Linked DNA regions of Ovis aries. The protein of the gene in region 2 purifies or fractionates together with the protein of the main gene of each other region. This does not show direct contact. Links are inferred from orthologs where the notes say so. Each region holds a gene or a part of one and is shown on either strand. Other genes may lie near its edges.

Region 1 (3,749 bases), on a different chromosome or scaffold from region 2:
ACGCGCCTGCTCCTCCTTGCCCGTGTAGTCCTGACTGAGCAGGATGTAGGCCCGCCAGTTGGCCGAGTCGAAGCCCCAGTGGCAGGTCCGGTTTTCCAGAGCCTTGTGCGAGTGCACCACGAACTTGTGCGGCGGGTACATGAGGCGGCAGTCGAGGCACTGGATGCAGGCGGCGCTTGGGCTGCTGTAGAGCTCGGGCACCAGCAGCCCCTTGCACTTGCCGAAGCACTCGTGGTACACACGCACACTGCGCTCGCTGAGCTCCAGGCCCAGCGCCAGGCTGGCCGCCAGCTCCTTCTTGCAGGGCGGCGGGTAGGCGCCGCCGTACAGCAGCGCGTTGCACAGGCGCTCGGCGTCCGTCTTGGTGATGAGCCCGCACGAGGGCGCCGAGAAGGGCAGGATGCCCATGACTTTGAGGATCTCCAGCTGGTCGGCCGTGCAGCGCGAGCAGTAGATGTGAAGCTCGTCGCACACCGAGTTGATCTGTTGCAGCGAGAAGTCGCGCAGCACGGAGTTGAGGATCTGCGGCAGACACAGCCGCTTCTCGCCGCCCACCACGAAACACGAGATGGTCTCGCCCTCCAGCACGGTCTCGCAGCGCTCCGTGGAGCGGTCGGACGGCATGAAGAAGGGCCCGGGTAGCACGGGCGGCGGCGGCTGGATGGCGGGCAGGTGCAGCACCGGCGGGGGTTCGGCGGCCGCGGGCACCGGCGCCGGCACCGCGGCCGCGCCCGCCTCCTTGGCGCTCTCCTTCTTGTAGGCCTCCTGCGCCCAGCGCGCCGAGAAGGCGGCCGGGCCGCCCAGCGAGCTCATGGAGCTGAGGTGGAACTGCTCCAGCGTCTTCTGCAGCCCCGGGTGCGGTTGGAAGCCGCCGCGGCCGCCCGCCGCCGCCTCCATGGTGCGCTCCGGCTCCCCAGGCCGCTCCCGCTCCCGCGTGCCCGGGCCCCCGCGGCCCCCGCCGCCGCCCCGCGCGCCCCGGCGGCGCCCCCGGCCCCGGCCCCGGCCGCCCCCCGCCGCCGGCTCCCGGCCGATCACGGCCGCGGCCTCGGCCTCGCCCGGGGGCCCGAAGGGGAAGGCGGGCGGGGCGAAGGGGTCCCGCCGCTGGAGCCCGCCGCCGCCGCCCGGGCCCGGCGCCACATCCACGCGCCCCGCGCCGCGCCCGCCGCCGCCCGGGCCCCCCGCGCGCCCCCCGCGCGCCCCCCGGGCCCTAGGCGCGGGGCATGCCCCAGCGCGCGCCGCCAACGCCAACGCCAACGCTCGCGGGCCCGGGGCTCGCGGGGGGCGCGCGGGCAGGTGCCGGCGCCGCGAGGCGCGAATCGCCGCGGCGGCCGAGGCCGAGGGGCCCGGGAGGAGCGGGGGCGCGGGCGCGGGGCCCGCCGGGCCGTCCTCGCGCGGCGCGCCGCCGCCGCCCCGCTCCTCCCACCGCGCGGCGCCCGCCCGGCTCGTCCCGGCGGCGCTGGCCGGCCGCGTTGCGCCCGCCGCCGGCCTCCCGGCCCGGCCCGCACCCACCCCGCCGCCCGCGCCCGGCTCCGCGGCCTGCCCACCCGCCCGCCCGCCCGCGCACGCGGCTTCCGGGGCGGCGGAGCGCCTGTGGGGCGGCCTCAGACCGCGGCGGCGGCGGCGGCGCGGGGCTCGGCGCACATCCTCCCGGCGGCTCGCTCCAGCTCGGACTGAGCGCCCGGCGCTGAGCTCACGCCGCCGCCCCGCCCCGCGTCCCGCCCCGCCCCGCGCCACCGCCCCGCCCCGAGCGTCGTCTGGGGCCGCGCGTCGGCCTCAGCCGAGCGCCAGCCAGGAATGCGCCCGCCGCCCCCCCGGCCAGGCTCTTCCAGGAACGCGCGCTCCCCCCGCCCGCGCTCGGCGCTCCGCCTCACTCGGCCGCATTCGGGTCCGCCCTCCGGCCCGGGACTCGGATCCGCTCGGCTGGTCTCGGGCCTGCCCGCCCGCGACTCGGCTTCGCTCGGCTACTCTCGGCCCCGCCCGTCCGGGACTCAGCTCCGTTCGGCTCCGTTCGGGCCCGCTCGCCGGAAGGCCGCTCGGCGGGGGCGGTGGCTGCGCCCCGGGCCCCCCATCCGGTGGAGGCTGTTTCCTGCGCGGCTGCGAAGGCGCCCGTCCAGCCGCCGTGTCGCCGCCGGAGCCCAGAAACCCACACAGGGCCCCCCCACCACAACCGCAAACCAGCTGAGGGGCGGACGGATGGGGCCGGCGCACCCTCTACCGCACGCCTCCCGGCCCAGCCCCCCGGGTCCCCACGCACGTGACGAGGCAATATGACCCAAGTCCCACGCAGGACTAGGACACCGAGCCAGACGACGTGGGTTACTACAGGATGGCAACACCCCAGAGACCCCACACGGGAGACAGGCACCGTGCAGACTGTTCTGGGGGTCCCCCCGAGCAATGCAGGCGCAACACAGCAACCCCCAAAGGATGACTGGCTGCAGGGCCGACCACCCCACGACCCTGCTCGATGGTCCCCCACACAGCTACTTTGTGCGCCCACCGCCAGTTCCAGGGCAGGGCTTGCGTCCAGGTTACCATGAGGCCGGGGCTTCTCAGGAACCTGGCTCCTGCCTGCGTGCCCCGAGCACGCTGGCCCTACCCTTACCCAACAGCTCCCAGGCTCAAAGAGCCATTTTACATCTGCAGGGCACCCAGGGCAGGGCCAGTGTGAGATCACACTGTCCATCCTTCTGCACCCTGGCTCTATCACGAAGGACAGACAGACCAGAAAGCGCTGGGTGGGACAAGACAAGGGCCTGAGGTTGGACAGGCTGACCGGGTGGCCCCCAGAGGAAACAGTGTCTAGCAGAGTCCTGGGAGCTTGGGACTTGAGATCTAGAAGACAGTTCTGGTTGTGCTTAACTCAAGGGCAGAGGGACAGTCCAGCCCAGCTAGGCAGTGGCGACTTTTCTTCCAAAGGACCGGGGCACCCAAGCTGGCCCAGACACTGGAGGACACATGGGGGGCCCACAGTGTTGGGCAGAGGTGAGAGGGCCCACCCACTTCAGCCTGTGTGACCTTCAGCTTGGACCTTACTGCTCCTGACTCCCCTTTGGAGATGGAAACTGGCCCCAAACCAGCATTCCTGCCCCGGGGAGCTGAATGGGTGTCTCTGCAGGCATGGACAAGTGTCCAGAGAGGCAGCAAGAATGGGCAGAGACCCCACATCTGTATGGCTGCAGAATCTCATGGGGGGACCTTGTGGTTCAGGGTGCATTGCTCTACATCTGAAGAACTGACAGCTCCCTACCGTGAGCGTGAACCCTCTCCTACCCACATGTCCACTGAACACCAGGTTTTCCTATGGCTGCCAACACAGGAAAACTAGGAAAGGGGTCCATACAAAACAAGAAAAGAGATGTCTTTGCTTTCGCAGACTCCATGGTGCTGGAGAAGATTCTTGAGTGTCCCTTGGACTGCAAGGAAATCAAACCAGTCAGTCCTAAAGGAAATCAACCCTGAATATTCATTGGAAGGACTGAACCTGAAGCTGAAGATCCAATACTTCGGCCACCTGATGTGAAGAACTGACTCACTGGAAAAGACCCTGATGCTGGGAAAGATTGACAGCAGGAGGAGAAGGGAGCAACAGAGGATGAGACAGTTGGATGTCAGCACCGATTCAATGGACATGAGTTTGAGCAAACTCTCGGAGATGGTGAAGGAGGACAGGGAAGCCTGGCATGCTGCTGTCCATGGGGTCGCAGAGTCAGACATGACTTCGCAAGTAAACAACATCTGGACCAAAA
Region 2 (2,514 bases):
TAGTTCAGGTATATGCCACAAATACCTGCATAAAGTAAATTTTAAAGTAATGATAGTTTATATTTTTTAAAAATCAGTAGCAAATGTTAAATCAACAATTTAGTTGTGCATCTAAATCTGATGTAATAAAAAAATAGAGAAATCTGTATGTATTTGTGTTTTGGGGAGCATCAAGAGGACTTCGTTGTATAGAATTCTCCCCATTTTATCCCTTGGCCTGGACCACAGGTTTTCCAGTGGTAAAGTCCTACATCTAGGCCAGCAGAATATGGGCTACTAGCTCTTCTCCCCAGTAATATGGCAAAGTCTCTCTTTCTCTTTCTCATTCTGTCTTGCCACCCCTCCCACAACCCTTTCACAACTGCTGCTAGCATTCTTATTAATTGTATTATTTTATATCCAATTTTCTTAACCATAATCCACCCTTGATCTCTAACACCTACTATGCTGAAGCATGTTGATATTGACAATTACTCAGTGTAACATTCACTAATACAAAAAAAAGGCAAGTAGCCATAACTGAATGAATACAAACAAAATTAGGCAAATGTCAACCTGAGTGAGATCACTGTTTTTGAATCCCATAATGTTCAATGTAGGCAGTTTTATAAAAATGAATTATGAAACACAAAGACAATAGAAATATAAGTTATTTATTAATCAATCCACTTACAAAGCAGGTGGCTTAATGCAAGCTTATCGACATCTTCACATATGATCCATGGGAACATGTCTTCCACATACAGACAGTGATGTTACTGACTGATGCATTTGCAATCTGGGGCATATTAAGCATATTTAGACAAATAAAATTAGGCTATCCTGTATATGAAAGTATCTTGATAATATGCATCCTGAAGTGGATTAAAACTTTCTCCAAAAGAGAAATGTTAGTACATTAACTTAACTTTAATATTCTATATTATGCAGTAAATCTTAACTATAGAAATTAAAAATTTTAAATCAGTGATCGACTCTTGGTAATGTATGAAGTGGGAGTCTAAAACCAGAGCAACAGTAGGTTGACAGTATAATTTGTGCCTCACAGTATCTGCAGATTTACTGTTTTCAAGCTTAAAGAGAAATAAAACAAGAGACATGTAGATTCAGCTGACTTTATTTATCTTTAAACTAATAAAAATCCCTTTAAAAGTGATTCTGGGACCTTTAGAAGTTCTATGAATGCATAGATACCTGCCAATGACTGCAATTCTAAATCCTGACTAAATGTGTTTACAAAAATCAATGTAAGCAGATATCTTTACTACGCGTGCTTAGCAGAAGACTGAGTGAAATTCTACATGTCTTCTTCAATTTCCCTAAAATTTTGTTAAATCTGCAAGTATATACAATCCAGCTAATTGAAATTAATATTTAGTGTTCATCAGAGCTGTTTCACAGCAGCAAAAATTGGATCTGGGAAATAAAGTTCTAAATGATGGAGGAAAAAGATAAATACAATAGGAACAGCAGTCTAAATGTATGGTATTAATATTCAACTCTATCTGCATTGTGCTAAAAGGAAAAGGATACACCAAGAAGAATTCTATTGATCACTCTGGTGATGTGAGTACCACCTGCATCTGATTGAAAATGGTTTGTATTCTGTTCCCGGTATCAAGGGTGGTATTGAACTCAGAACTCCATATTGTAAATATACAGCAGCCATTTTGTCCTAATTAAGGAATGTCTTAATACACAATATTATCATTTTCTAGAGGATCTTTATACATTAAACTAAAGTACATGATTGATTAAATTAAACGTTAGTAATGGATAAAAAAATTCATAATTCTCAAGACCTGGTACTATGTAAAAACCAAAAAGACCACAAAATTCTACTTACTAAAGCAGCTAATCTTGCCTGCAAGTTTAGGGTCACAAGCCCATAATATGTGCAAAGAAATGCAATACAAGGAACCATGCAAAAATACAGTAAAATGATACAGGAAAAATGTCAAATCTAGAAAAAAAAAAAGCTTTTATAAATACATCAAAATCAACTGTATACATAAACTGTAGGTCTAGCATTAGTTGTACCATGTAGCAGAGCCAGCACTCTTAAGTTCAAGGCTTCCGAATCTGCGCAGGTAAGTCATGCCATCTTTGGTTGACTGCAGTACCAGGAGGGTGGGAATGAGAGGGAGGGTAAGAGTTCTGAAACATGGTGTCAACTTTCACTTGGCAGCTGGGCCTCAATGTCCACTCTGCAAATGGGGCACTTCTTATTGGTGATCAACCACTGGTCAACACACACTTGGTGGAAAAGGTGCATACAGGGAAGGCGTCTATTGTAAGTAAACAAAACAAAAAGCAAAAGTTTATTTTATGACAAGTGCAGTGGCATTTAAACAAATGATACATGTAATACTTCAGTAATATTATGAAGTTACTAAGCATTTTCTCTTTTGTTAAAAAAAAAAAAAAACCTCCCTACTCAAGATTATATACCTACATTAAATTAATACTTTGGGCAATGTAATGTATTAATGACCAAGATAATTAACTGTCACA
Region 3 (3,749 bases), on a different chromosome or scaffold from region 2:
AGAGAATTTCTGCTGAAATATACAAAACTATCCCCAAATTCCTACTTAAGAGTTAAAGCACATACCAAGCCTGACAAGCCACAAACAACAGGAAATTACTCTGCACAGTTTCTTGCAAACTATTATTTCATGAACCTTACAGATGTGTGTGCAGAGATTTGACCATTTATGACTAGATACAGGTAAGTTACAACTTTAAAAAGCCAAACTTTGCTGAACACTTAGAATGTGAAATCACTAGAAGGTATAGCTACAAAGTATAAAAACCAAGTTCTAACAGCACTTTCATACTAAAAAAAAAAAAGCCCAGAATGGATGTTTCCGAACACCTTACATTAATTAAAATAGACCAATGAACTACTTCAAACTCAACTTTAACATTAAGGGTTTAAGTGGGCACTCATCTTAGAAATGCCAATAGATTTGAACTGTTCTTATTTACTACAACAACTAATTTTACAGCAGAAAAAAAACTTAAGAAACTTTAAAAATAAAATCAGTGTTGGTCTCTGACTTTGATATAAATGTTTGCTAAATGAACTTCTGGTGGAGAAAATTCTATCAATATCTTGTATGGTACTTTTTTTTAAGGCAAATAAAAAAACATCTTCAAACTATGACACATTTATGAGGCCCACTTTACATTATTTCTTTCATCTCTAGAATATTTGCTTCATTTACTTGTTCACAACTTCCCAAATTTAACTATTTACCTTACACACCCCCTAACCCTAACTTTTTTAAGGGATCAAAACTAGAACAGCTAATGTATTATCAAAATAATAGAGTGTATTATCTATTTGTCTCAAGGAAAGCACCCTTACAATCAGTGGTGAAGGTTCAATTCATATGAAACCAGAAGATGGAATTTTTGAAAAGATGCAATTACTCCAAGCAAGTTCGCGAGATCATTTATTTATTCACAACAAATTTAGCTGTGTCGTGCTAAAACACCACAATTTAGGAAACCCCAAACTGTAACAAACATGACAAGACTGATGGAAAAATGCTACCTCATTTTCGTTTTACCTGGAAACGTCTCTTTTTAAATAAAGGGTTAGTTGACAACAAACCGGCAGTATTTAGCTTTTTTAAGGGTCAAGAGGAAGGAATAACAAAACCAACCTAACTACTGTTTTTTTCTTTTGTTCAGGATCAAAAGGAAACCATTAACCACGAAAGGATTAAGTAAGTAGAAAACAAAAGTACTCAATCTAAGGGCAGTATTCCCCAGGAGAGAAGAAAACAATTAAAGCTGCAGGATTTGAAAACCAAGTTTGAAATACGTTGAAATCAATTAGCTTGCTCTCTAAAGGCGTGTGATTAAAAAAAAAAAACTAAAACTAATAGGCTCCGCTCACAAGAGCAACTTTCACAAGCTAGTGGAGAAGTTATGTGGACGGAGTACCAGCAGTGTGCGTGTTTGTGTGAGAGCACACGCTCGCGATTCTGAACCCCGAGACCAGAATGGTTAACAAAGGTTACAGCACCAGGGAAGTGGGGGGGGGGGGAGTGGAAGCAAAGTCTCGCATGCTCCTAACTCGGGCTTCCCAACAAGTCCCCGAAACCAGAGCCTCGTCCCTGCGGGATTTGAAAATCACCACCACAAACTACCGAGGGTGACCGCCACGGAGGAGGAGGGGACGGGCCGGGCCACACAGCCGGCCCCCGCCCCGGGCCGCGCGCGCGGGCGGGCGGGCGAGCGGGCGGGTGGCTCCCAGCGCCGACCCCCGTCCCCCCGGCCGCCCCGCCCCGCACTCCCGCACCCCGCGAGCCGCCAGGCGCCTCGCCACACCCCGGCCCCTCGGCCCGGCCAGGTGACGCGGCCGGCCCGCCTCACCGACCCCGAGCCCCACAGAGACACACCCCGGCCCCGAGGCCCCGCCGGGCGCCGCGGCGTTACCTGGACCGAGGCTCCGGGTCCCGCCCCGTCAAGAGTCCGGGGGGGTCCGGGACCTTTGTTCCTTCCTCTTCCGAAAGGGATGGAGGGGCCGGGAGGGGAGAGGGGAATGGGCCGACTGGAGGCGGAACTGAAAACACTCTGGCGGCCGCCCCGCCCCCCCAGCCGGAGCCCGGCCGGCGGCCCCGGCGCGCGGGGAGGGGACGGGAGAGGGGGCGGCGCGGGCCCGGCCGCCGCCCGCGGGGAGGAGGGGATGGGGACGCGCGTCCCGCCGCCGCCACCGCCGCCCCTCCTCCCCTCGGGCGCGCGCCCGCCCGCCTCGCCCCCACCCGGGCGGCCCCCGACGGCCGAGCCGTCCTCCCCCGCCGCGCCCGCCGGCCCCACCTCCGCTTCCGCCCTGCGCCCTTCGCCGCCGGCCGCAGCGGCGCGGCGCACCCACCTCCGGGCGGCTCGCTCGGCGCTCGCTGGCTGGTGGCTGGGAGCTGCTCCTCCGCCGCCGCCGCCGCCGCCGCCGCCGCGGCCGCGCGGTAGCCCCGCCTCCCACCCCGGGCCGCGAGCCCCGCCGATTCGCCGGCGCAGCCCCGGGGGGCTGGCACCCTGCCGCCCGCTGATTGGCGCCCCCGGACGCCCGTTAGGGGCGCGAGGTACGCTGGCCGAGCGCGCGGCCTTGGGGGCGCGCGCGGAAGACCCGGGCAGCGAAGAAAGAGAAGGGGTTAGGCCCGAGCGCCCGTGTTAGGGCCAGGGCGCGAGCTGTGGGCTCTGAGAGGCGCGGGCCGCTACCTCTCCCCACCTCCTTTCCCTCCGGCCTCCCCGCCCTCCCGGCCGGACCGGCGGCGCACGCAGCCAATCAGCGCGCTGGCTGCTCGGGGTGTGAGCCGCGCGTCGGGGGCCTCGAATCGGAAGGGAGACGTCGCTCTCTGATTGGTCCCGCCTCCCCCGTAGAGCGTGAGGCGAGGCGCGGCCGGGCGGGCGGCGGAGGACTTAGGCGGGGTGGGATGCCCGCGGTTTCGGTTGGCTTCTTCTCTGGCGCGCTCGCACGGGAAACTCTGGGAAAGGGAGTGGGGGGCGGGGAGGGGAGGCGCGTAACCTGCCGTGAGGGCGACCACCTTTCCGTCCTGATCGCGGCTGGTCCTCCGTCCCCGTCTCTGGCCGGCACCACTGGGTGGGGCCTGTCGGAAGCCGCCGCCCGGCCCACCTTCTCTGTAGTCAAGCCTGGAGTGGAGGCGTGCTTATCCTCGGGGTGGGAGGCCCCGACGGTGGGCGAGCTAAGGGGCCGAAGAGGGGTGTGCCAAAGCCTGCGTCCTGGACCCACGCGTGGGGCACCCTGTGCGAATGAGTGGGCGCGGCCCTCGTGGTGGTAAACGGGGGCGGGGTCCGAGATGTAAATAAGCCCGGGGCCGAGCTCTTTGCTTGGGCTGTAGGGTCTGGTGGGGAGGCGGGGGCGGGGGGGGGGGGGGTGGTCACAGGTATTTTTGTTGAACGGAAACTTGGTCCTGTCTTCGTGAAAAAATGGTGCTCGTTTTGCGTGTTCTGAATGCTCCTTGTGAAGTCTAGAACGCAAGTGCCTGGCACGATATCCCACAATTGCTGAGTTATTTGCCCCGTTCTTCATTTCTGCACTGCTCAGGCGCTGTTCTTAGACCCCATCCTCGCACGTCTGCACTGCAAAGCCTCTAAGCTGCTAGAAACTTTGGTCGCCTTTTCCTTGCAGACCCCGAGCCTCTGCCTGAAATCTTGAACCCAGCCAGTCATATTAAGCGATTATCAAGCATGTACGATGTTAGGCAGAGAACACCATAGAACTTCAAGTTGAGAAGAAATTCGGGTCTCACATAGGTCGTTGGTGGCA

What was found.
Region 1: the proteins of RNF111 (region 2) and SKI purify together in Homo sapiens (affinity purification with western blotting, with the first as the bait; 3 studies listed by BioGRID). This does not show direct contact. The link is inferred for Ovis aries from reciprocal best matches to the Homo sapiens genes RNF111 and SKI.
Region 3: the proteins of RNF111 (region 2) and SMAD2 purify together in Homo sapiens (affinity purification with western blotting, with the first as the bait; 3 studies listed by BioGRID). This does not show direct contact. The link is inferred for Ovis aries from reciprocal best matches to the Homo sapiens genes RNF111 and SMAD2.

What each region holds. Positions count from the first base shown.
Region 1 is NC_056065.1:49,878,518-49,882,266, forward strand, and holds the start of SKI (ski oncogene), read right to left. Parts: upstream 2,539-3,749; coding exon 2,449-2,538; intron 2,179-2,448; coding exon 1,872-2,178; intron 1,755-1,871; coding exon 1-1,754. UniProt on the Homo sapiens protein: May play a role in terminal differentiation of skeletal muscle cells but not in the determination of cells to the myogenic lineage. Functions as a repressor of TGF-beta signaling.
Region 2 is NC_056060.1:49,377,475-49,379,988, forward strand, and holds the end of RNF111 (E3 ubiquitin-protein ligase Arkadia), read right to left. Parts: intron 2,289-2,514; coding exon 2,171-2,288; 3' UTR 633-2,170; downstream 1-632. UniProt on the Homo sapiens protein: E3 ubiquitin-protein ligase. Required for mesoderm patterning during embryonic development. Acts as an enhancer of the transcriptional responses of the SMAD2/SMAD3 effectors, which are activated downstream of BMP.
Region 3 is NC_056076.1:47,913,996-47,917,744, forward strand, and holds the start of SMAD2 (mothers against decapentaplegic homolog 2), read right to left. Parts: upstream 2,443-3,749; 5' UTR 2,340-2,442; intron 2,044-2,339; exon of another isoform or gene 1,904-2,043; intron 1-1,903. UniProt on the Homo sapiens protein: Receptor-regulated SMAD (R-SMAD) that is an intracellular signal transducer and transcriptional modulator activated by TGF-beta (transforming growth factor) and activin type 1 receptor kinases.